Linked DNA regions of Drosophila melanogaster. The protein of the gene in region 2 interacts with the protein of the main gene of each other region in a pairwise test. Each region holds a gene or a part of one and is shown on either strand. Other genes may lie near its edges.

Region 1 (4,109 bases), on a different chromosome or scaffold from region 2:
TGGTAAGCCATAAATTGTATTAATAAATTTTATTAGTTATACACCTGCTTAGAACGAATAACCTATGTATTTGCCAGACGTTGTAAACCGTTTTCAACGCTTTAATATGCTTTTAGATGCGGATTGTTATTTCATTATACAGATGTTAACATCCAGAAACAGTCCGTTTTAAGGATTGGGACTAGCAGGTCATACATAGTAACATGTTCAAGTATTGTTTTATATGCGTCATTCTAGCCTGGGCTTCTCGTGATGTTCTCGCTAACAAAACGGAAAATCCGCTGCTAATTGATCAAGTGGCTATAAATCAACAACAATGGTTCACATTCATTGCGCTGAAGGAAAGTGAAATGCAACAGAAAATAGTGAGGATCGAAAGATCGATAGAAGAACGATTGATGGCCATGCAAAGCAAGTTGGCATACGCACTGAACGAGCTGCAGACCATAATGGGCAACCAGAGTGTGGAGACTCTCGAGAAACTACGAATCTCGCACAGGATTAATCCGGCGCTTTTCCAGAGAATGGGCACAAGACGCTTCTACATTGAGAAGGAAAACAAACAAAATTGGTTTGGCGCCTCAAACACCTGTCGTCAATTGGGCGGTCACATTGCCACCATCAGGGATGAGCAGGAGTTTAATGAGATCTTCTCAAGAGCGCCGGCCGGCGTCTTTTGGATAGATATGAATGCTATGTTCAAGAACGGCCTTTTTGCATCATCACTCACCGGCAGATCGCCGCCGTTCTTTAAGTGGAAGAAAGAAGAAAGGGGCAATAAGTTCGATTGCGTTAATGTATACAACAAGGAAATGTACAATGAAAATTGTTTCAACACCCATTTGTTCATATGTCAAGCCGAGCAGTGGGATTGATGCGAATGCGAAAATAATAAATTAAGTTATTTTCATTTTGCATCTCGGCAATTTACCGACAGCTTTTAATAAAGTTATGAGCCTACTGTCTTTTTTATTTTACTAGCCCAAAAATGAAGTACATAACTGTTTTCTCAGCCAAGAGGATCATTAAGATTATTGGGTAATGAAAATTAAAATATTTTCCCTTAAGTACAAAACCAGGCCAATCCATATGGGGTTTCCATCAAGTGCCCAGAAAGCGGTGCTTGGTATTTCAAAATGCCTTACACACATGACGTGTCCACGTTCTGTGCAGAAATAAGGGCGGCCAGTGCCACGCCCCTCCACAAGGAAGCCACCCAAATGGTGACAAAAATGCTTTTGATTTGTGGGCCATTCGCACACCCATAGCCACCCACGCTTATTAGAATCCTGCCATTGTGGCAGCCAAAGTGCAACTAGCAGAGACAGATAGCAAACATCCAACAATGTGGAGCAGAGCGCAATTTATGACCAGGGGCGAGATTTCGAAACGGACTAATAGGATTGCGGCTCCAATTTTTGGGGCTTTTCATTTCAGATACCTCCGCACATACGATGCAAAATTATATCTCGAGTTTTCACTTACGTTATTATACGCTCTAGTGTGCAAGTCTTTAGTTTTTCCAATTATTACTATTCAATAATACTAATATACCAATATTGTATTTTGTTATAATAATAAGATGCTATTACCGTTACATTATTAACAAATGGGTAGTTGGAATTCCCCTTTCAAAAATAAAGATATAAAAAAAATCGATCTCTATGTTGTAGGGAACTAGTTCATTGAGATTAGTTGCAGAACTCATTGGAATTATTCAAAACTCATTATTCAAAATATAGATAAATAAATATAGAAGATATATACTTAAATGTGTTATTTTGGAGTGACTTCAGTTAAGTTCGAATTATTTAATTGAATTTACCGCGCATTAGTGTTACCATTTTACACTTACACCATCAAAATATTTCTAGTATTTTCAATCGGTCGTGAACTGGGCAATGAAAAGCCATCTGGCAACACTGTTCCATGACGCTTGAATTTTAGCGGACAAACTCGAAAAGAAATAGCAAAAAGACGACGCTTGCTACGAAAATAGTTATTCCTCGCAAAAACCCTGTAACGTGTAAACAAAGGCCGCTGCCACGATGCCGCGCACCAAGATACCAAAGAACTCCAAACGCAACCGCGAGGTGGCCAATCGCGAAGAGAAGGTGCGCCTGTACGAGCTGAAAATGGATTCCCGCCTTATCAGCATCGATTCGCTGGAGACCAAGTTCCTCTCCGCCGTGGACCACCAGGTGAAGACACTGCTCGGCCAGGTGCAGAAGGAGCTGGCCAATCTGAAGATGCCCGAAGTGCTGCGCCTCTTCGAGGAACTGGACCGCTTCAGCGACTTCAAGGCCAGCGATCAGACGCAGCTGCTCGCCTCGATGTCCATGAGTGGCAGCGCCATCGAGGGCCACGCCCCCTCCGCCACTGGAAGTCGCAATGACGAAGGTTTGTTGGCCTATATATGTATGCTGTTATACCAATCTGCTGGCAAGGATGTCATCACCCGAATTACAAATGAATACCGGTTTTACATGCCAAATTGGCAAATTCCATTGTATATTCGGTATTCATCATACCCTCTTGTTGCCATTTTCACTTTTAATTTTAATCTAACTGGTGTCCGGCTTTGTGACTAACTCAACTTTGCTTTCTAACTCCGCACCGCACATTTCAATGCACGCAAAATGCATATACCCACATCCACATCCTGTGCCGGTCACTGTATCTAGGCTACCTTACAGAGGACAGCAGCATCGGTGCCAGCGGTGGGAGCATCCTGGCCGCCCACACAGGCTCCCTGCTGCGGTCCACGAAGGCCATGCGCACACCCGGACCACTGCACTCGGCGAGGGCTCGTCGAGCGCGGCGCAGTCGTTCCGCCTGCGGGGATCTCAACATATTGCACTCGGCCAAACCGCCGTCAATTTCGAGCAGCAGCAGCAGCAGCCGCAATTCGCGCAGCAAACTGCGCACACCGATGGCCTCGCGTGCGAAGGCCTTCAGTGCCGACCGCACTCCTTTGAAACAGAAGCAAATGCGCTCCGGATCGCCAACTACACCGCCGATGGCATTCCTGCGCTATCCCAAGCCCGGCGAGGTGGCACTATCCAAATACGGCAGTCCCATGGTGGCTCAAGTGTAAGTATTGATCACATACTACGTGTCGATACCAATTTGTTAAAACCATTTTTCCCACACGATAGAATGCCAGACAAGTTCGCCAATGTGAACATACCCATTCGGAACGGAGTTCTTAGCTTGCGGCCCAAAAAACTGGATGCCGACGAGGTGGAGTCAAATCTGTTGGAGAACCTGGACGAGGACACCCTTAACCAGATCAAAACGCTGCACGAGAACTTGCAGATGATTGTTAATAAGGCCAGCCAGGCGGTGTTCAAGTAGCTGTCATTTCAAACGCTTATCTAGATATAATGCTATATCATATATTTTAATACGTTTCGTTTAAGTTCAGTTTTCATTTTACTCATTTAGTTCAAGTATTTTGTCTTTATTCATAAAAATCTATCGTATTTGCATAAGTTTCAATACATGTTCATATCCAAGTGTACGGCGATTTAAATGTAATGTTTTAAATACATGCTTAATCCAAAAAAAAAAAAATGAAGCGTTCCATGATGATTACTCGCCTTCAAGCAAAACGACGGAGAATCGAAAGAGATGAGAAAGTGAGAATCCAATTTAATTCTGCAATGGATAAAGTCGATGAGATGGCCAAGTTGTTCAAGCAGGATGTGGACAACAAATTGGGTTTGCTTCAAGCCAGGACTGATGCTCGTTTGCTGCAGATGAAATGGTCGGATTTCATGGCTCTAGCAAAAACTGCTACCTTCAAATAACATCTTTCTTTTGCTAATTGCAAAAGAGGCAACCGCTTTTAAGTTCCCAGATTTCAGAAAGTGGCCAATAAAATTATGTTATGTTAAAAATGTTTAAAATGTATTTTCGCACGTTGATATGAATACAGTTTTGAATCGCTTGTTCACCAAAGAGCCCTTTGACTTTGTTAGAATTAGGCGATTAGTTGACTGGAATATATAAATCGTTAGAAATATGCCTCGCACCAAGATTACAGCTCGTCGTCAGGCCCAGCGCCAGAAGGCTGATCGCGAAGAGAAAGTGCGCCTGTCCCAAAT
Region 2 (4,447 bases):
CCGCGCGGCGAAATGCTACCGAAGACGTACTCGAAATCCTCGCCAGCCGCGCTGCCGGAGTGCTTGCCCTGGAATCCGCTGGAGTCACGCTGCTTGCCACTGCGACGCGGCACATCGGTAGCTATCTTGGCCACCCGGGCGACCTGCACATCATTCGACATGGTGGCAATGGGCGGCTGCAACGACTTTCCGACTAGAATTGGCCTGATTTGGGCCGCTTGATGATGACTTTTGATTGGTGCTCCATTCCCAGGATATGTGGCACTGGTGTTAACTCTACATGGCTCATTAAAAACTTTTCTTAAGGCATTTTTAATTCAAAAACTCGAAATTACTCCAACCAGTCGGGATATTTATTGCATTCTTATCAGAAAATGTATACCCAGAAATAAGAGTGTGTGAGAGTGTGTTTATGCTAACGGTATGCAACACTCCGCATATTATTTATCGATAACTTGGGCGCGTCTTTTAAAACTGTATGCTATAGTTATTGTACATATCCAGTTTCAACGCAATATCGATTGAATAAAGTGATTTATTTTATATAATCTGGTTTTATTGTACGCTGTTGCGGTAATATATATATGTATTATATCTTTTGTCAACACTGAGATATGGTTTCATCCATTTCTTTGGGAGTCCTCAATTGAACTAGTTTTTCTCTAAGGAATAGCCGCCAGATTCTCTGCTCGTATCGTCACCATAGCCTCGTAGTCCCGCATGTCCAGATCGTGAAGTGCTTTCTGGACCAGAGTGGCCAGGTGAGGCGGCAGGTCCTTCAGATCCTCCATACGTTCCCGTGCCACTGCACTGGATATTCGTGGCGTGCCGTTGCAGCGGCTGCTCAATCCACAGTTGCCCGAATCTGTTGTGGCGGATGAAGACTTTTGGAAGTCATCGGGCTGCACATCTGCACCGTACACAGACGAATCCACGGACTCCGTTGAAAGCGAGGACATTCCATCGTCGGAATGCAGAGCCTCAACGGACTTGTGCTTCTTTGAATCTTCATGATCCGCTGTAATGGCGACGCCTTCGTTATCTGGCTCAATGGACGGAGTGCTGCTGATGTCGGCGTCATCTACCATGGCGGCACAATAGCCATTGAGGAGCAGCTGCGAAGGCGCATAACCATATTCCACGTCCTCCTCCTGCTCCTCTGCGTTGTCATCGTTTCCGGAGAGGAGTTGTTGCCACCGCTGCTCCAGCTCCGTCATTTTGCCAGCCAGTATTCTGCAGGAAATATGGGTTTATGAAATATATATCAACTTTCAGCTGGATTTTCCTACTTGTTGGTCTTCTTTTGGTGCGTCAGGGCCAAGTTCTTGTCGTTGAGATTGTCCAGCAGGGCCAGACACAAGGATTTTAGATCGCTTAAGCTCTCGGTTTTCTGAGGCAGCTCAATGCCACTCTCGAGGATTGTTTTCACTAGGGTACAAACAAATTAGAAAGGCATGAAAGAGGTGGCCACCATATAATTACTCACCTTGCCGGGGGCTTAGAATGGTGTCCTCATTTGTGCTCCCACCGCCAAGTTTTACAATTCCCTTCTTTCGTTTTGCATCCAACATTGTCTGAATGATTTAAATATAAATAAATAAAATGGTAATAAGTCTTAACTAATACCAGTACCTTGTACTTATTGATGCTCTGTTTGGTGAGCTCCAGTTCGCTGTCTTGGATCTTCACACGTTCATGCAGGTACTTGTTCTCCAGCAAAACACCATCGATGTCCAGGAGCTGGAAAATCAATAACTATCAAGTAAGTACTATATAGCATCAGTTAACTCACCCTTGGATGCGTTTTCTTCGCCCTGAGGGCCACAAAGAGTTCATGATTTAGGCGGTGTGCCTTGCACTTGTAGGCATCCCGCTCGGTTATCAGCTCCTCCTTCTCATCGATCACCGCCTTCAGGTCGAAGGCCAGCTGGGCATTCCTTTTTTTGAGGCCCTCCAGGTGGCAGATAAAGTTTGCCCGCTCACGACGCCACTGCAGCTCCTCCTTGTTGCGAGCGGCATTCTCGCTGGCCATTGCCTGTACCCGCGACTTGTTGCTGGCCTCCGTCTCCCGGAGTAGTTCCATGTCGCCATGCAGCTCGTTGAGCCGCTGCCTCAGGGCTTCCACTTCGGTGCTGAGCTTTAGGTTCTGCTCGCGCGTCTCGTGGAGCAGGGCTGCCAGGCTGGAGTTCTCGCTGAGGGCTCCACATCCACCGACAGCCAGAAGTTCGCTATTACTCTTCAGCGCGGAGTAGCGCAGCTGCAGGGTCTCCGCCACCAGCTTGTACTGGTCTCGCTCCACGCGAAACTGTTCCAGCTCCTGGCGCAGGATTCGAAGTGCCTCCACCTTGCTTTGAAGTTTCCTGTGCACCGCCGAGGTCTGTAAGGGTGGGTCGGTCATACAACGCACTTGGTTCGCTCGAAGGGTGGGGGCGGACTCACCTCTACATTGTACGTGGCCATATGTTGACCGAATCCGTGATGACTAGCCACATCGTCCAAGTCCATGCCGAATGCTTGAGTGGGTTTTCCGTTTGCCGAGCTCGAGATGTTGACATTGACAGTGATTGTAAACTGAGGGCTGTCCGGAGGAGCCAGCTGTATCACACTTTCTCGGGCTCCAAGGACCCCATTCTGTTCCAAAACACACAGCTAGAGTGAATCAATTTTAGATGCGCCTGCGCATGAAATTCGATTCATATCGATAAGCCTAATTTGAAATTAATGTTCTTGTCCTCATATGTAAATATCATTAAACAGCTAATGTCATTATTTTGAAAAGAGTTTTCAATTTATTTCATTCAATTTGCCTATTTGTAGGAATACGGATTTTTCGACATACATATCAGATGCGACCAAACTCCTTCTGGCTCACTGCAGGTTTTTTTGGCGACTTGATATTGCACTTAACACCCTTCTGCGAATGGTTTTCACTTCGGCAATTGTGGCCGTTTTGAAATCCATCTTTTCGACAAGCTTTAGCATGCATTTCACTTGGGATATACTTGGATTTCAAGAAAGAGATCTCAGAAATTGATAAAAACCTACCTTTGAAACCAATCTCCTCACTTAGCTCGTAATATGAACTCAGCTCCCTACCACCTTTCTGCCGTTCACATACTTTTCCGGAACGGCTTCTAGATGTTTGTGTTTTCGTTTGGATCTCCACCACGTCTTGGGTTTGCTCTTCCTCTTCAGGCTCCATGTGAGACTTGCATTGCGTCCAACATGCCTCTCTGATGTTGGTCGCCTTGCAAGTCCTACGAAGATGACACCTTCTTTTACTTGAATTTCGCCTAAAAATATATTAGTTTATAACCGAGTTCATATTTCCTTCTTTAGCTTACTCTATTTGTTTATCTTGAGCTTTGTTTTCCAATAAAGATTTAATGCTGTGCTCATTGTACGATAGCCCCGAAATCAATCTTCTATTGTTGGCCAGCAGTTCTTTCAATCTCCTCATATGATTATTTAGCTTTACATTGTATGCTTCTATTCTATGCAATACCCTTTCTGCATTATTTAAGTGATCATTAAAAGAATTATGTTCTAGAGCAGCAGGATTCTCTACTATCTCCACAATCATGTTGTTTCAGCACAATCAAATCAAATCAAATTTGGATTATTTTTTAGAATTTAGAATTTTAGGGATAAGACTACTTAAGTAAAAGGTATATACTAGTTATATATGATGTAAACAAACAGTTAAGGAATAATTTAAGTCTTAGGGATAGGTTAAGTACTATGATTTTCAGCGGGAGCTCATCGCTTTCGCAATGGTAACCATCTTTCGCACCACGATGGAGTTGGTTCCGTAGTAGGGGTCCACGTCCTGTTTGCCCATGGTCACGTCACACTCCATTCGCGTGGTGGTGGGCGCCACGTAGTCCTCGCCAGCCGTGTCCAGGGCGGAAGCGTGAAACTCTAGGCAGCGACTGACCGTGAGGATCTCCTCCAGGTTGGACACCTTTATGCCGGCGCCGGGCATAACTATAAAGTCTCTTTGATGTTTGGCTATCAGCTGTGCCAGGCAATCTACGCCATCGGCAGCCGTGGGTCGGAATCCGCTGCTCAGCAGACGTCGGAAACCTAGTTCCCGCAACATGTCGACATTCTCGTCCATGGACTTCTGGTCGGTGAGGTCGAAGGCGCGGTGAAAGGTCACTGGCAGACCACCGGACGCCAGCAAAACGTGCCGACACTGATCCACGTTGATGCTGCGATCCGGATTCAGGGATCCGAAAACGAAGCCATCGGCACCGTTTTCCCGCAGCAAGTCCATGTCCGTGAGCAGGGCGCACATCTCCTCGTCGCTGTAGACAAAGTCGGTGCCCCGCCGTGGCCTCAGCATGCAGTAAATGGGCATTGTGAGCGTTTCCTTAATAGTTTTTAGGGTACCGATGCTGGGTGTCAAGCCACCTTCGCCCAATGCCGAACACAGTTCAATGCG
Region 3 (4,297 bases), on a different chromosome or scaffold from region 2:
TAAAATCAGACTTGCTGTTGTTTAGAAAATGTTATGCATTGCCTTAGGAGCGCGTTTTGAGCAAATCTCGATACCAGTTGGGCAGGATTTGATGTTCCGGACCGCGCAGCACTTCGTAGCTGGCGTGCTTATTTAAAAAAGTCACCTGGACCACCGCAAACGGATCGTTAATGTTCACCAGCAGCTTCTTAAGATTGCGCAGAAACTGTTCCAGGTACCAAGCCATTGCCGATGCACTCCACGGTTTGTTGCGGGCCAGTGTTGCCACATCGATCTCATCGATCCTCTGCAGCATGCCCTTGGTGTCGCGGAGTCCCACGTAGAGCGTAGTGATGCCCACCAGGAATGACTGACTCCACCAGTTGGCAGACTTGAACGATTTGAAGGTGCGAATTTGGTGAGGGTTCATATTGAAGACGCTGGTCTTTAGCTCTACGAATTTCAATGAGTCGAGCACTCTGCAATCTTTGAAGTCACTAATGGGATTCGTGTAAGTGTATACACAAATAATGAATGGATGGAACATTAATCATTCATAAGTATTTAAACCCTGGACCACTCACACTGGCTCCTTGCTGTCCACACAGTCCAGTTCGGCGCCGTATAGCATCAAAATCCCGGCCAGGTTCGTGCGGTACACGCCCATGAACTCCTCTGCCTCGTTGACCGGCACATTGGTCACCGGTTTTCCCTGCGCCTGGGCACTGGTCAGGTACTGCTCGAACTTGAAGCCCCAGGAGCACATGACCCGCTGTGCCCTGCTCATGTTCGCGTTCTCCAGCTGCTGCTCTGGGGTTTCCTCCTTGCACATGTAGACGTTGCCGTTCAGGAGCGTCGCCTTGACGCGGAATGAGCGATTATCATACTGCAGGCACATTATCTGCCGCAAAATACCGCGCAGTGTTACAAAGTCGCTGTCCAGGCGTAGATTTCTCGCATCGGAGCTACTCTGACGGAGCAGCTCCTTCTGGTGTTGCTTAATGTAGGTCAGCATAATTTCCAGATCCCGTTTGCCGTTCTCGACGGGCTTACGGATCACATCCTCTATACCCCCGTTAAGATCGAACGGCAGCGGTGGCCACGGTTGGCCAGCCAAGTAGCTGGCGCAGCTGGCGTCGTCCACAAATTCCCGGCTAGCGTTTATGCTGCACACACCGATGCACTTCGGGCGGCTTATCGAGGGAAACGGCGTATTGTACATCGCGCCCAGCTTGTGCTGCCCCCAGGGCACACTGATGAAGCCCGCGTTCTCGGCCATTTCCTTCGCCTCCGCGGATTTTCCAAGTTCAAACTATAATTATCCGGAAAATAACGCTAATATTTATTAGAGGTGGAGAAAAATCGCAAACATCGATGTTTTTCGAGGAATCATCGATTATTTTCTTTCTCCACTGCGCAACTAAATGGGCTAAGACCTTGGGAAATGGTTGTGGTGAGAATCAAGTGTAGGCGATTAGTATCGAAAGCTAAATTGTATTAAAAATGGGATGATGATGTGCTTATTAATTTTAATGTAATAAGTGAACGCTAATGATGATAGTACCTCGATGAAGAGAAAAAATTTTGACTCTTAGATTTGCTTTATGTTCTGTTTGAGCACGTCTATTCACCACGAGGTATTTGCAAGCTTAAATCAAACAATTTGTGTGACCACAGTCATGGGAATCTAAGAATATACTAAATACCAAAATAACACGAAATCCGATTCGGTTTTGTTCATAGATTTGTTTTTATGTTTATTTGTAACCACCAAACGTGGCTGGCCAATGAAGCATCTCCTGGAGGATCCCTCGGTCCTGGCCGAGCTGCAGGTGCTGCCGGATAAGACCGGTGGTGTACAGGATCGACAGGAGGCCGCCAAGAATCCTGCAGAGAATTCCGTGCCCGACGAAGATTTGCCGGCTGCAGGAGGCGATTTGCTACGCGTTAAGGATACTCTGGGCCAGCTGGCCTGCAGTCTGCACAAGCTGTCCAAAAACGATCACATAGTCATCGATCGGTGGGTAGTAATCCCTATTTTTTGGAGCTTTCATTCACCTTCTCTGATCACGTTCCGTGATCTTTTATTCCTGTGCAGAAAGCGCCATCAGGTGATTCGCACAGATGCGGCTACGCAACAATTAACGATTTACCGCTGTCCGGATCCCGCCGTCATGGGGATTCGCCCGGCGATAGAGAAAAATGCCCAGAATCCGCCTGCCAAAGTGGGTAGACCATCGAAAAGAGCCTGTTCGGTTGCCACCGCTCCTGTGGCGAAGAAACCAACACTAGCGGAGCAAAAACCTGCTCCCGACACCCATCGCACTAGATCCGGTCGCCAGGTGCGCAGCTTGATGCCACAGCCCGCTCCCGTGACCAGTGGCTCAGCGGTTGAGCCAAGTTCTGCCCGCATGCTTGAGATGCTGGTGGCCGACTTGCGGGACAAGGACTACCGGGCACCCATGGCAGCGCCGAAAAGCACGAGTGTCAGCAGCAGCGTCAGTATAAGCCAGGAACCGACCACAACGACAACCATCCAACGAGCCGTGCCCAAAAATGCCGTTTGTCCCGGCTGTGGAAAGATCTTTTTGGGACGCCGTCTGCAGCGTCACTTTGTCAAATTCCCAGAGCACATGCCGCGTCCGGGCGAGCAGACACCACCTGTAGCTGTAGCTACAGTACCATCAACGGTTCATCCTCCCTCCACGCCGTCGCTGTTCGGCCTTCTGACCGCCCAACTGCAGCGGCATTCCCATCTCAGCGAGGAACAGCGCTCTGATCTCTTTCTTAACGAACTTAACGACTTTGTGGAGCAGCTGCAATTGCGCAGCCAACGGCTTATACGGAATACCTCTGGACTGCATTTTGTAAATGCACGAATTGCACGAGTTTTGGGCATACCCGAGGGTCAGTATGCGTTGGATATGTCCGCCATGGAGTCGCCGCTGGCACCGATGCCGGAATCAGAGGGAGCGGCCTTGGTTGCCGGCAGCGGTAGTGAAGGAGCCCGCAATCTGGTGGTCTACGCAGAGTTGAGCATGTCGCTGGACGATCCGCTCACAGACGAGGCTGCACAGCGTCTCAATCTATCGGCGGGCGGTCAACTTCATCCGCCTTCCGAGGAGAGTCTGCTTAGAAACGTCAGCGATCTTATGCAGCCGCCAGTGGCAACTGCTCCTCCGACTGTGAACCATGGCTACGATCATGCCAGCGATAATGCCGTGGAGGCCCTGACCATGAAGGAAACGCCCAACACAGAGGCTATTCTCGATCTCAACGTGGACTTCTTCCAGTTCAATCCGAATTAGAAGGGACAAATGTATAGAAAGCGCTTAGCTAGCAATGGAGATGAAGAATTCTATGATAGAGTGAAAGGTATTTCAACTACTTTTTAACTTGAACACTGAAAAGGTTCTAAAATATGAAAGTTTAAAACATTTATTTTATTTATCGTGCATATTGCATGAAGAAAGTCTCTGAAAATTGAAACGAACTTTTCTAAGTAGATTAAAATGTATTAATGGAGTATGTAAATATAGAAATAGGGATCTCTTAGATACATTTTGGTATTGTATTTTGAATTTTTACTGAATATTAATATTGAAATTGTATAATTTGAAAAGTAACCTCATATAACCTCCAGCCAAAAATCTATGCAATTAGTACGCAAATGTAAATGGTTGAGTGGCAAAAATGCCGCATGCGGATGGAGATTATTTATGAAGTACTTAACTGGCTAACGAAAGATGCCTATTAAATGAATTTATCTTCCTTGATTTTTGAAATTGTTGCGTTATTATTTGCTGGAACATTTGGAAGTGAATAAAAATCCTGGCCAATTTAGTTTAATGTATATATGCTTGTGGTTTCTAGCAGCTTTTCATACTTTTCATTTGTGTTTACTGCAAGTCAATTAAATTGATCGCAATTTTAATGGCGTTCAGCTAAATGGTAAATTTCTGTGAAAAATTATTATTGCTTTTAGTACAAAGCTGCTGCTTAAATAAATCCCTTTCAATACCTGTGTGTATTACAATATCTAGAATATCTTTATTGAAAAGCGTGCGTGTATCTATGTTTACTTTCAGGTGTAAAGTTTATTTGCCACGATGTAATCATATTTTCTGGCCATCCACTTGATTTTCAAAATACGTGGAGGATGGCAAGGGGGTGGCTAAAATCAATTTGGCAGTTATCACTGCAAATGGACGACCGTGTTTGCCTTGGTTCAATATGATTAAAGCTGATGACCGCCATGGAATTGCACCTAAAAGTGCAGTCAGAAAGTGACCTATAAATAGCGGAGATTCAAAGAAGT
Region 4 (7,577 bases), on a different chromosome or scaffold from region 2:
TTTAGTTTCCCTGCATCTGTCATCTCCTTTTCTGAAGACGAAAATAATGTAGATTTTCCACTAAGTTTTAGTGTTAGTTTTGGTATTTGATTTGGAGATATTCCACTTGTGGCGGCACCTAACGATGGATTTATTGTCATGGAACTTGATTTCAATACAGGTTCATCGTTGTTAGCTAAAGGCACCTTGTCAAATTCTTCTGTGTCATCTGGTATATGGACTAAAATCTAAAATAAGAATTGATTAAACTATAAATTTAACTTTAAAAGATTTTGCTGAGATATGTGTATAGACTAAAATAAAATTTGTAAGAACTAAAAATATAACTTTAAAAGATTTGGCTGCTTTACATGTTTATGTAGGATTAAGATGTTTTTGTACCTATACCAAGCTGTAGGCTTCGATGTTATAATTAGTCACAACAGTCTATATAAGTATTAATACAAATTTGGAACATAATGTATAATGTATAATGCATAATGCATAATTTAATGTTATTATACGGAATATGTTCACAGAATTCATGATTTTAAAAATGTTTCCCACATAACTTGCTGTTTTCAAATGAGTTTGTGTACGTACTTATCGCAAAGGTTGCTTATCAGCTCCGGCGTATCTACATATCTGATCCAAATACCACAACACGAACACCTATTTTTTTATAAATAAAGAATTGACACAAACCTGCTTATCTTTATCCTTTTTCTTTTCTTTTTTTTGCCTTTTATCATTGGCCTTTATTTTCCGGTCGGATTTGAAAGATGGTAAGCCAATCTGATCCGCTTTCTTTGATTTGTCCTTTTTCTCTTTCTTTTTTTTATTTTTCCCTTCTTTAACCTTTTTTAGCTTTTTGTGATGTTTCCGCATTTTCGGTTCCAACGACGTTAATCCAGTTGGTGTTATTGTAATATCTTCGTAGTTAGAAAAGGTAGAAAAAATATTGTGCTCTTCTGAAATTTTGATTTGATTCGGTATGGTTCCACCTAAGCTACTGAATGGTACTATTTTGGAGGAATATTCCGAATCACTCACTCTCGACAGAGGAATAAGATCTGCTCCCCCAGCTAAACTGAATTTGTCACCTCCCATAAAATTAGGCAAGTTAAATTGTGGAAATGATGAATGTGAAGCTGGCGTGTGGGGTACGCTTTTTACATCGGGAAAACTCTGTTTAACAAGTTTTTTAAATTTTTTAAGTGGTTCGTTAGAGCTTAGAGACACAATATTCCTTAGATCCATTTTGGATTTTTCTTCACCATTAGATGCAGCTGACGTAAACGAGGAGGGATTTAGTTCTGCGAAGCTGGTTTTAACATAAGTTGGTGATGATATTGGGGTTTTTCTTTGAACCATCTGCCTGTTGTGCATTGATTCATCTGAATCATCTGAAACCTCTATTGGATCATCAGGATTTCCAGAAGCCTCCAAAAGCGGTTTCGTGTTTATTTTGCTTGTAGCCTGTGCAGATGGGTTTTCCAATATTGTGCTGGCACAAGATACGCTTTTACCTACAGATATAAGTAATAAGTTATTTTTAAATTACAAATATATTTACCGTTAAACTTACACTCGGCGAATTTCATTGAGTCAGGTACTAATGGAGCAACATTGCAGTAGTTTCGATCCATTTGCAAGTCAGTTTGCGTGGAAGATCGGCTCAGAAATTGATCAGAATCAGTAACTAAAAATTATTTTTTCTAATCATTATAAATATTTAAATATTTTGGTCGACAAATAATTCACATATTGTAGGTAGGTACGTATTGTCAATATAAAAAAAAAATTTGAGCTCCTCCAAATATCTAGTTTATGACAAACGCAAATATTTCATACTAACCCATCTAGAAGCTTCCCAATACCACTTCTTGAGTGTGTACCTATACCTATTTTCTACATTCAACGGTTCAATGATTAGTTTCAGATTAGTATTTTTGCTGTAATGAATTAAGATATTGCCGAGACTTTTATGTAAGCAATATATTCTTCGAGCTGTGATACTCGAACTGGTATGGTAAAGTAAAGTTTGGGTCAACAAACTTCAGCTGGGTTTATGTCTCTAGAATCTTTATGCTTAATCTCAACCTACTAGCTTTTTATAGTTCATGAGATCTCGACGTTCATACGGACGGACAGGACAGGATCAGATCCACTCGGCTATTGATCCTGGTCACGAAAATATATACTACGTATATATACTACGAGCAATGCGTATAAAAATAACTCATTTGACGTACCAGGAGAATCCTTAATTGGTGGACATCGAACAGTATCCGCAACTGATTCTTCTGGTCCAGGATAATCTATGAACGGCGAAATAGGTATTCTGTTACCGTGATTCCCGAAGCCAACTAAACCAGTGACTGCAGGAAAAAGCCCAGGTCCAGTAGGAATAAGACCAGGTCGTGGTGGAAATTGCAATAAAGGAAGCAACGGAACCATTCCTGTTTGAATTCCAGGGTAAATTGATGCATTTGACAAAGCATTGGATATAGTCACAAATTTATCTGAACATTGTACATCATTATTTTGTTTTGTGGGTCGAATAGAATTATGTAGTGTTGATGCCTTTTCAGGAGAACAGCTCTTGTCTAATTGCATTACATTTTCTGGTAATGATTTGTACTTTTTTCTGTCCTTTTTTTCTTTTGCATACAGGTTTGACAAAAAATTATTCGAGGGCTGTTCGGTATTACACAAGTTGAGAGGTTCTGTTGGCGGGGAGACGTTTAAAGAACTTTGGGTTATTATCATTGGAGATGATGATAGAGGCAGTGTAATAGCTTGGCTTGACTTTTTCCGTTCGACCTTATTAATTAAAGGTTGCGATACAACATTTGTTTGTTTTATTACATTTTTTCCTCCAGGTTTGCGACCTCGCTTTTTTGGCTTTGGCGAATCAATAATTGACATTTCAACGCCTGCTTTAGTTAAAGGTATAGTTCCATCGAATATATTGCAAGGGTTGATTTTCATACTCGGAACGTTTTTGTTTTCAGAATTTAGACCAAGTGAAGGTGTAGGAGTTATAGTAGTCCCCGATGGAAGACTAATTAATGCTGAAGGGGTCATTGTGCTTCCAAATACAGATACCCCGGTTCCAGGAGGTACTAAAGTCGCCCCAATATCTGGACGTGGAGTACGTGGCTTAGAAATTTTCTTAAAAATGTCCAATTTACTTCGTTCTGGTTCTGATCCACTTTTTTTTTCTGCCAATAGCACTTGCGTTTGTTGAATTACAGATGGCTGCACTGGATAAATTGAATTTCGAAAATTATTTTCAATCTGGCTTGTTACTGTTGGCGGCTGACTAGGGATATCAGCTTGTAAAGCATTTTCATTTGAGTTAGCTTTTATGGCAAGGCCGCTCGTAGTTTGAGAATTCTGCAAAAAGTGTTTTTCGTCGATGTCCAGTTGAAGATCATTTTGCTTAAGTTTGGACTGCTTCTTAAATATTTTTTCTAAATGTTTTTTATTTGGATCGAAGGATCCGCGGTTAAATTTTTTTTTTAACTTTTTCATGTTTTGTATTTGATTAATTGAGCTGTCTCTTTGGTTCTTTGAGGTTTGTTTATACATTTTTAAAGCTTTTCTCTGTGACTTTTCCTGAGCTTTTTCAAACGGATTAGTTAGAAGTTCGCTTTGACCGGGTTCGCATATTAAATCATGTTTCTGTTTTCTATTCTTCTTAGGTGTTGTAACAGTTAGCATCGTATGGTTGTTAGACGCATATATTATTGAAGACTCTGAATGTCCACTTGTCAATAATGCAGCATTTTGTTTGAAGATTTTAGTTTCTGAGGGAATGATTTTTCGTGGATTTACTGTTTTGTCTCTGTCAGAAAGCGCCAGTTGTGGAGATTTTTGTAACGAATTTACAATTATCGTCGGTGAAAAGGGTGCATCCAAACCTAAAAATTTTTCTATAAACACCGATACATGAAAATTTATTAAGCTGTGGTATAAGGATAGGTCGTACCAACTATATCCGGTATGATATCTTCGGGGAGCTTGCCTTCAATAGCTGGACTTATGAATCCCCCTGTTGTCATTACCACGCTGCTCATTTCGCGGACTGAGCTCCCAACGTCCAATTCAAAGGCATTCGACCGGAAATTTATCACAGTATTAGGAGAGATAGAATCAATGTGCTTGGCGCCTAACTTATCAGCTGCGTTTGTTGAACTATACTCTGCTTTTGAACAAAACTCTTGCTTTTCCGAAAATTCCTTTTGAACATCGGCTGGAATTTCACGAAGTTCGGGGTCCTGCATTGGTGGCAAGTATTCAAATATGTAGACAGGTCGCGTTAGAGTTTCAGCGCTTCCAGGCTTAAGGAAGTTCATGTTTACAGATTTTCCAATGGGAAACTGTGGTACATCCCGGATGAATCCAACAGGCTCGACATTACCTATGTAGTCCAATAGTTCTTGAACATTGATGCTGAGATTTTTTATACTTAAGCGTGCATCCTTAAGGTTCGGCTCTATCCGATTTGCTAAATTAGTAATATATATACTTGTCAATTAATATTTTTATAAATTTTATCCAAATAAACAAAGCATTTTTGATTTTTTGTTTGGTTTTAATAAGATTTTTTTGAACTCATATAAATAACGTTATTAAGTAACATACCAAGCAAAATTAAAAAGAAAATATAAGAGAACGCTTTAGTCGAGTTCCTCAACTATTTATTTTTATTTCTGTTCCGGTGGTTACAAGGAAGATATATCTTAATCTAAGATATATCTTAATCTAAAATATATCTTAATCTAAGATATATCTTAATCTAAGATATATATAAATCAAAGATTTATTGTTTTTTTTTTTTTGGTGTTTACAAGACAATTAATGAAATAATAATTTGCAAAAAATACAATCTACATGCCTATTGAGGTTTCATAATCCCCAATCGAGACCCCGGCAGTCCCACAATTCATCGCTCCTTAAAAACATCCCAAGATCATCGGTTTCGCCCACAGTACCAACTGCTTTGGCTGCACAGCCACAAGCAGGGAATCAGCAATAAATTATGGATCTTTTATTTCCAGCCGAATGCTAAGCTGACGCTCTAAGTCGCCGAGCACATAAGTTTCGTAAGAAACTTTAAATTTTTAATGCGCATCGGAACTAGAGAAATTATATACTGATGTAGGTGAAAGGGACTGGGCGAGGAAAAGGGAAATAACAATAAAAGAAAGAAATAAATTAAAAGATTACTTTTCTAAGAGGCACGCTTCCTTTTTCGCGGATAACTGGGACTAGATTTATGCGAGTAGCAGGCGCGAGCTTAATCAGGAAATTCCAATGGCAATGGATTCATTTTACACGCAACAACACGTACTACTCGCAGAAGCGATGTACATTTTTCGTAATACATTTCTGTACACATTATACTAATATATTTTACTTTAAGGTTAAACGGACAGGTTGACCGGTATTCTAACGCAACTGAAAGCAAAATGCCCTAACTCCAAACAAAATTGTTTTAATGATAAATAATGATTTATTAATGATAGTCTGATGGAACTGCAGGGATGATAAGTTATACATTTATGTACATGTACATATATGTCACATACTTTTTATTGAATCTCTTATTCTACAAGTAACGACTATAACTACTCAGGCTTTGTTGTATTTCATGATCGGTTCCGTTGATTTGAGGGTCTATACCACTTACCGTGTTCCATATGTCTATGCATGTCTCGAGCGAACTCCTGTACAAACTTCTGCAATATGTCTTGCAACAACTCCAAGGGTGCACTTAGAGTGCAGCTGTAACCAATAGTTTGCGTTATCTGCGCAACGACAACAAGGGCCAAATCTGAAGCGTATCTGTCTGCCATCATGTTCTTTCATGAGGTACACCTTCTTTAGAAAACCTTGGAAATGCTGTGAATAGGTTTAACCGTCCCACGAACTTCCTCTTGTTATTAAAATTAATTGACTTGGTGTCTACACCTTTATTAGACGAACTACAATCTGTGGATGTTTAGTTAACGATAACTTATCGATTTTGCCTTTGATGGGAAATATATCGATATTTGGGGTATGCCAAAAGTGGTAATCATGGGGTTCAATCAAATTCAATTGATTGACCAACATAAACAAACTGCAATTTTTTATGTGGTTTGAAAGTGGTTATAAGGGCAGATAAAAGGTTTGCTTTCGGTATGTTCGCTGTTAGTGTTCGAATAAGACACAAATTTTGAAAATAAGACGAAAAAGTTTTCTAATCCTTCTATTCTTTAAAATAGATATTGAACGATGGAAATATAATTAGAGCTTGTTTAATAATAGAGCGCTTGAATGCAGAGTGAAACGAGAGTCTTGTGTTGTTACCCGTAAAAATGTTTTAGTTTTACTACTACTATTACTATTATTACTACGATTACTTACTACAAATTTTAACAGCATCTAATGTTATGTTTATTGTGGAAAGAAAGTAATGCCCAGAACAGCTATGAAATTACCGAATAAATAATAATATAATTATAAATATAAATAATATATATAAATATAAATTTAATAAAATAACATTAAGCCTAAAATCGCTTCAAAAATATCATGTGAACTATATCCCAAACATGTGTATATATGCAGGTAATTTAGTGGAAAGAGGGTATAATGTATAATGACACAAAACTACTGATAGAATACTAGTTATATTTTCGATCAGTTTAGAAGAAACTTATATCTTAAGACATTTATTGGGTTAGGTATTGTTTCCCATATATGTTCTAGTCGAGTATTCACACAAAGAAGCGTGCGACAGATCTTCGGCACTTAATATTTTGTATTTGTAATAATGTAAAATATAAAAATTAACAAATAAAACAACTATATGAACATTTGCATGTGTTGGGTATATGTGTAAGTCTAATAAAAAGTTTTATTCTACTTAAAGCTCAAATCCTTTAAACTTTTCAGCTAGTTATTGAAATACTCAGTATAAATGAGTAAGAAGATCTCCATCAACATTGATCTGACCAACGTTTTACTCCTTTTTTAATCTAATAAGAACTAAAAAATGCAACCATTGAACTCGAGCATTGATAAAGCAAAACATTTTTTCATAGAGAGCGGGATCTTAGGACCCGTTAACTTTAAATATTCTCATGACATGATTCGGAAGACGTCTACCATTCACATTGACGAAACTCTTAAGAATCAGGTAAGGGTGGATAATCTGATTCCCAACGAATACACGTTTACACCTATGTTAACCATAATAGGTGTATAGGTATCGTATTTCCTTACATATACTGAAGATTTCATATGCAGTCGGTCAGTTATCGAGTAACTGGTTAGTCCGTCTGACTATCAATCTGAACGCTGTGATCTCGGGAACAATGAAAACTAGAATATTGATATTAAGCATTAAGACTCAGTCACAGAGTCTGTAAGAGTTTGTTTCATGCCGTTGCGACGCTTGCTCCAACGACGACGCACCCTCAATATTCATACGGTCACAAAAAATCAATCAACCACTAGCAAAAACACGAATACACTTCAGTGCGCAGATTTCTCATTTTGCGCATAATGTACGAGCTCAAAGAAGCTGGAGTCGAAAAAAT

What was found.
Region 1: the proteins of CG14868 (region 2) and borr interact in a two-hybrid assay, tested with the Drosophila melanogaster proteins (one large-scale study listed by BioGRID).
Region 3: the proteins of CG14868 (region 2) and CG13005 interact in a two-hybrid assay, tested with the Drosophila melanogaster proteins (one large-scale study listed by BioGRID).
Region 4: the proteins of CG14868 (region 2) and Taf3 interact in a two-hybrid assay, tested with the Drosophila melanogaster proteins (one large-scale study listed by BioGRID).

The regions. Positions count from the first base shown.
Region 1 is NT_033779.5:9,250,926-9,255,034, reverse strand, and holds borr (borealin-related), read left to right. Parts: upstream 1-1,916; 5' UTR 1,917-2,048; coding exon 2,049-2,400; intron 2,401-2,684; coding exon 2,685-3,093; intron 3,094-3,158; coding exon 3,159-3,357; 3' UTR 3,358-3,563; downstream 3,564-4,109. Other genes in the region: lectin-30A, read left to right, coding at 204-875; aust (australin), read left to right, coding at 4,027-4,109. UniProt on the Drosophila melanogaster protein: Component of the chromosomal passenger complex (CPC), a complex that acts as a key regulator of embryonic mitosis.
Region 2 is NT_033777.3:15,367,274-15,371,720, forward strand, and holds CG14868 (uncharacterized protein), read right to left. Parts: upstream 2,673-4,447; 5' UTR 2,506-2,672; coding exon 2,440-2,505; intron 2,378-2,439; coding exon 1,793-2,377; intron 1,741-1,792; coding exon 1,633-1,740; intron 1,575-1,632; coding exon 1,487-1,574; intron 1,429-1,486; coding exon 1,290-1,428; intron 1,234-1,289; coding exon 663-1,233; 3' UTR 543-662; downstream 1-542. Other genes in the region: CG34404 (uncharacterized protein), read right to left, coding at 1-161; CG6136 (uncharacterized protein), read right to left, coding at 3,749-4,447.
Region 3 is NC_004354.4:16,801,994-16,806,290, forward strand, and holds CG13005 (uncharacterized protein), read left to right. Parts: upstream 1-1,656; 5' UTR 1,657-1,766; coding exon 1,767-1,999; intron 2,000-2,077; coding exon 2,078-3,287; 3' UTR 3,288-3,761; downstream 3,762-4,297. Other genes in the region: Rai1 (Rat1 interacting protein 1), read right to left, coding at 44-476, 564-1,258.
Region 4 is NC_004353.4:460,821-468,397, forward strand, and holds the start of Taf3 (TBP-associated factor 3), read right to left. Parts: upstream 6,009-7,577; 5' UTR 5,850-6,008; coding exon 5,681-5,849; intron 4,496-5,680; coding exon 3,977-4,495; intron 3,921-3,976; coding exon 2,235-3,920; intron 1,682-2,234; coding exon 1,568-1,681; intron 1,509-1,567; coding exon 685-1,508; intron 594-684; exon of another isoform or gene 228-593; coding exon 1-227. Other genes in the region: CG33941 (uncharacterized protein), read left to right, coding at 7,031-7,174.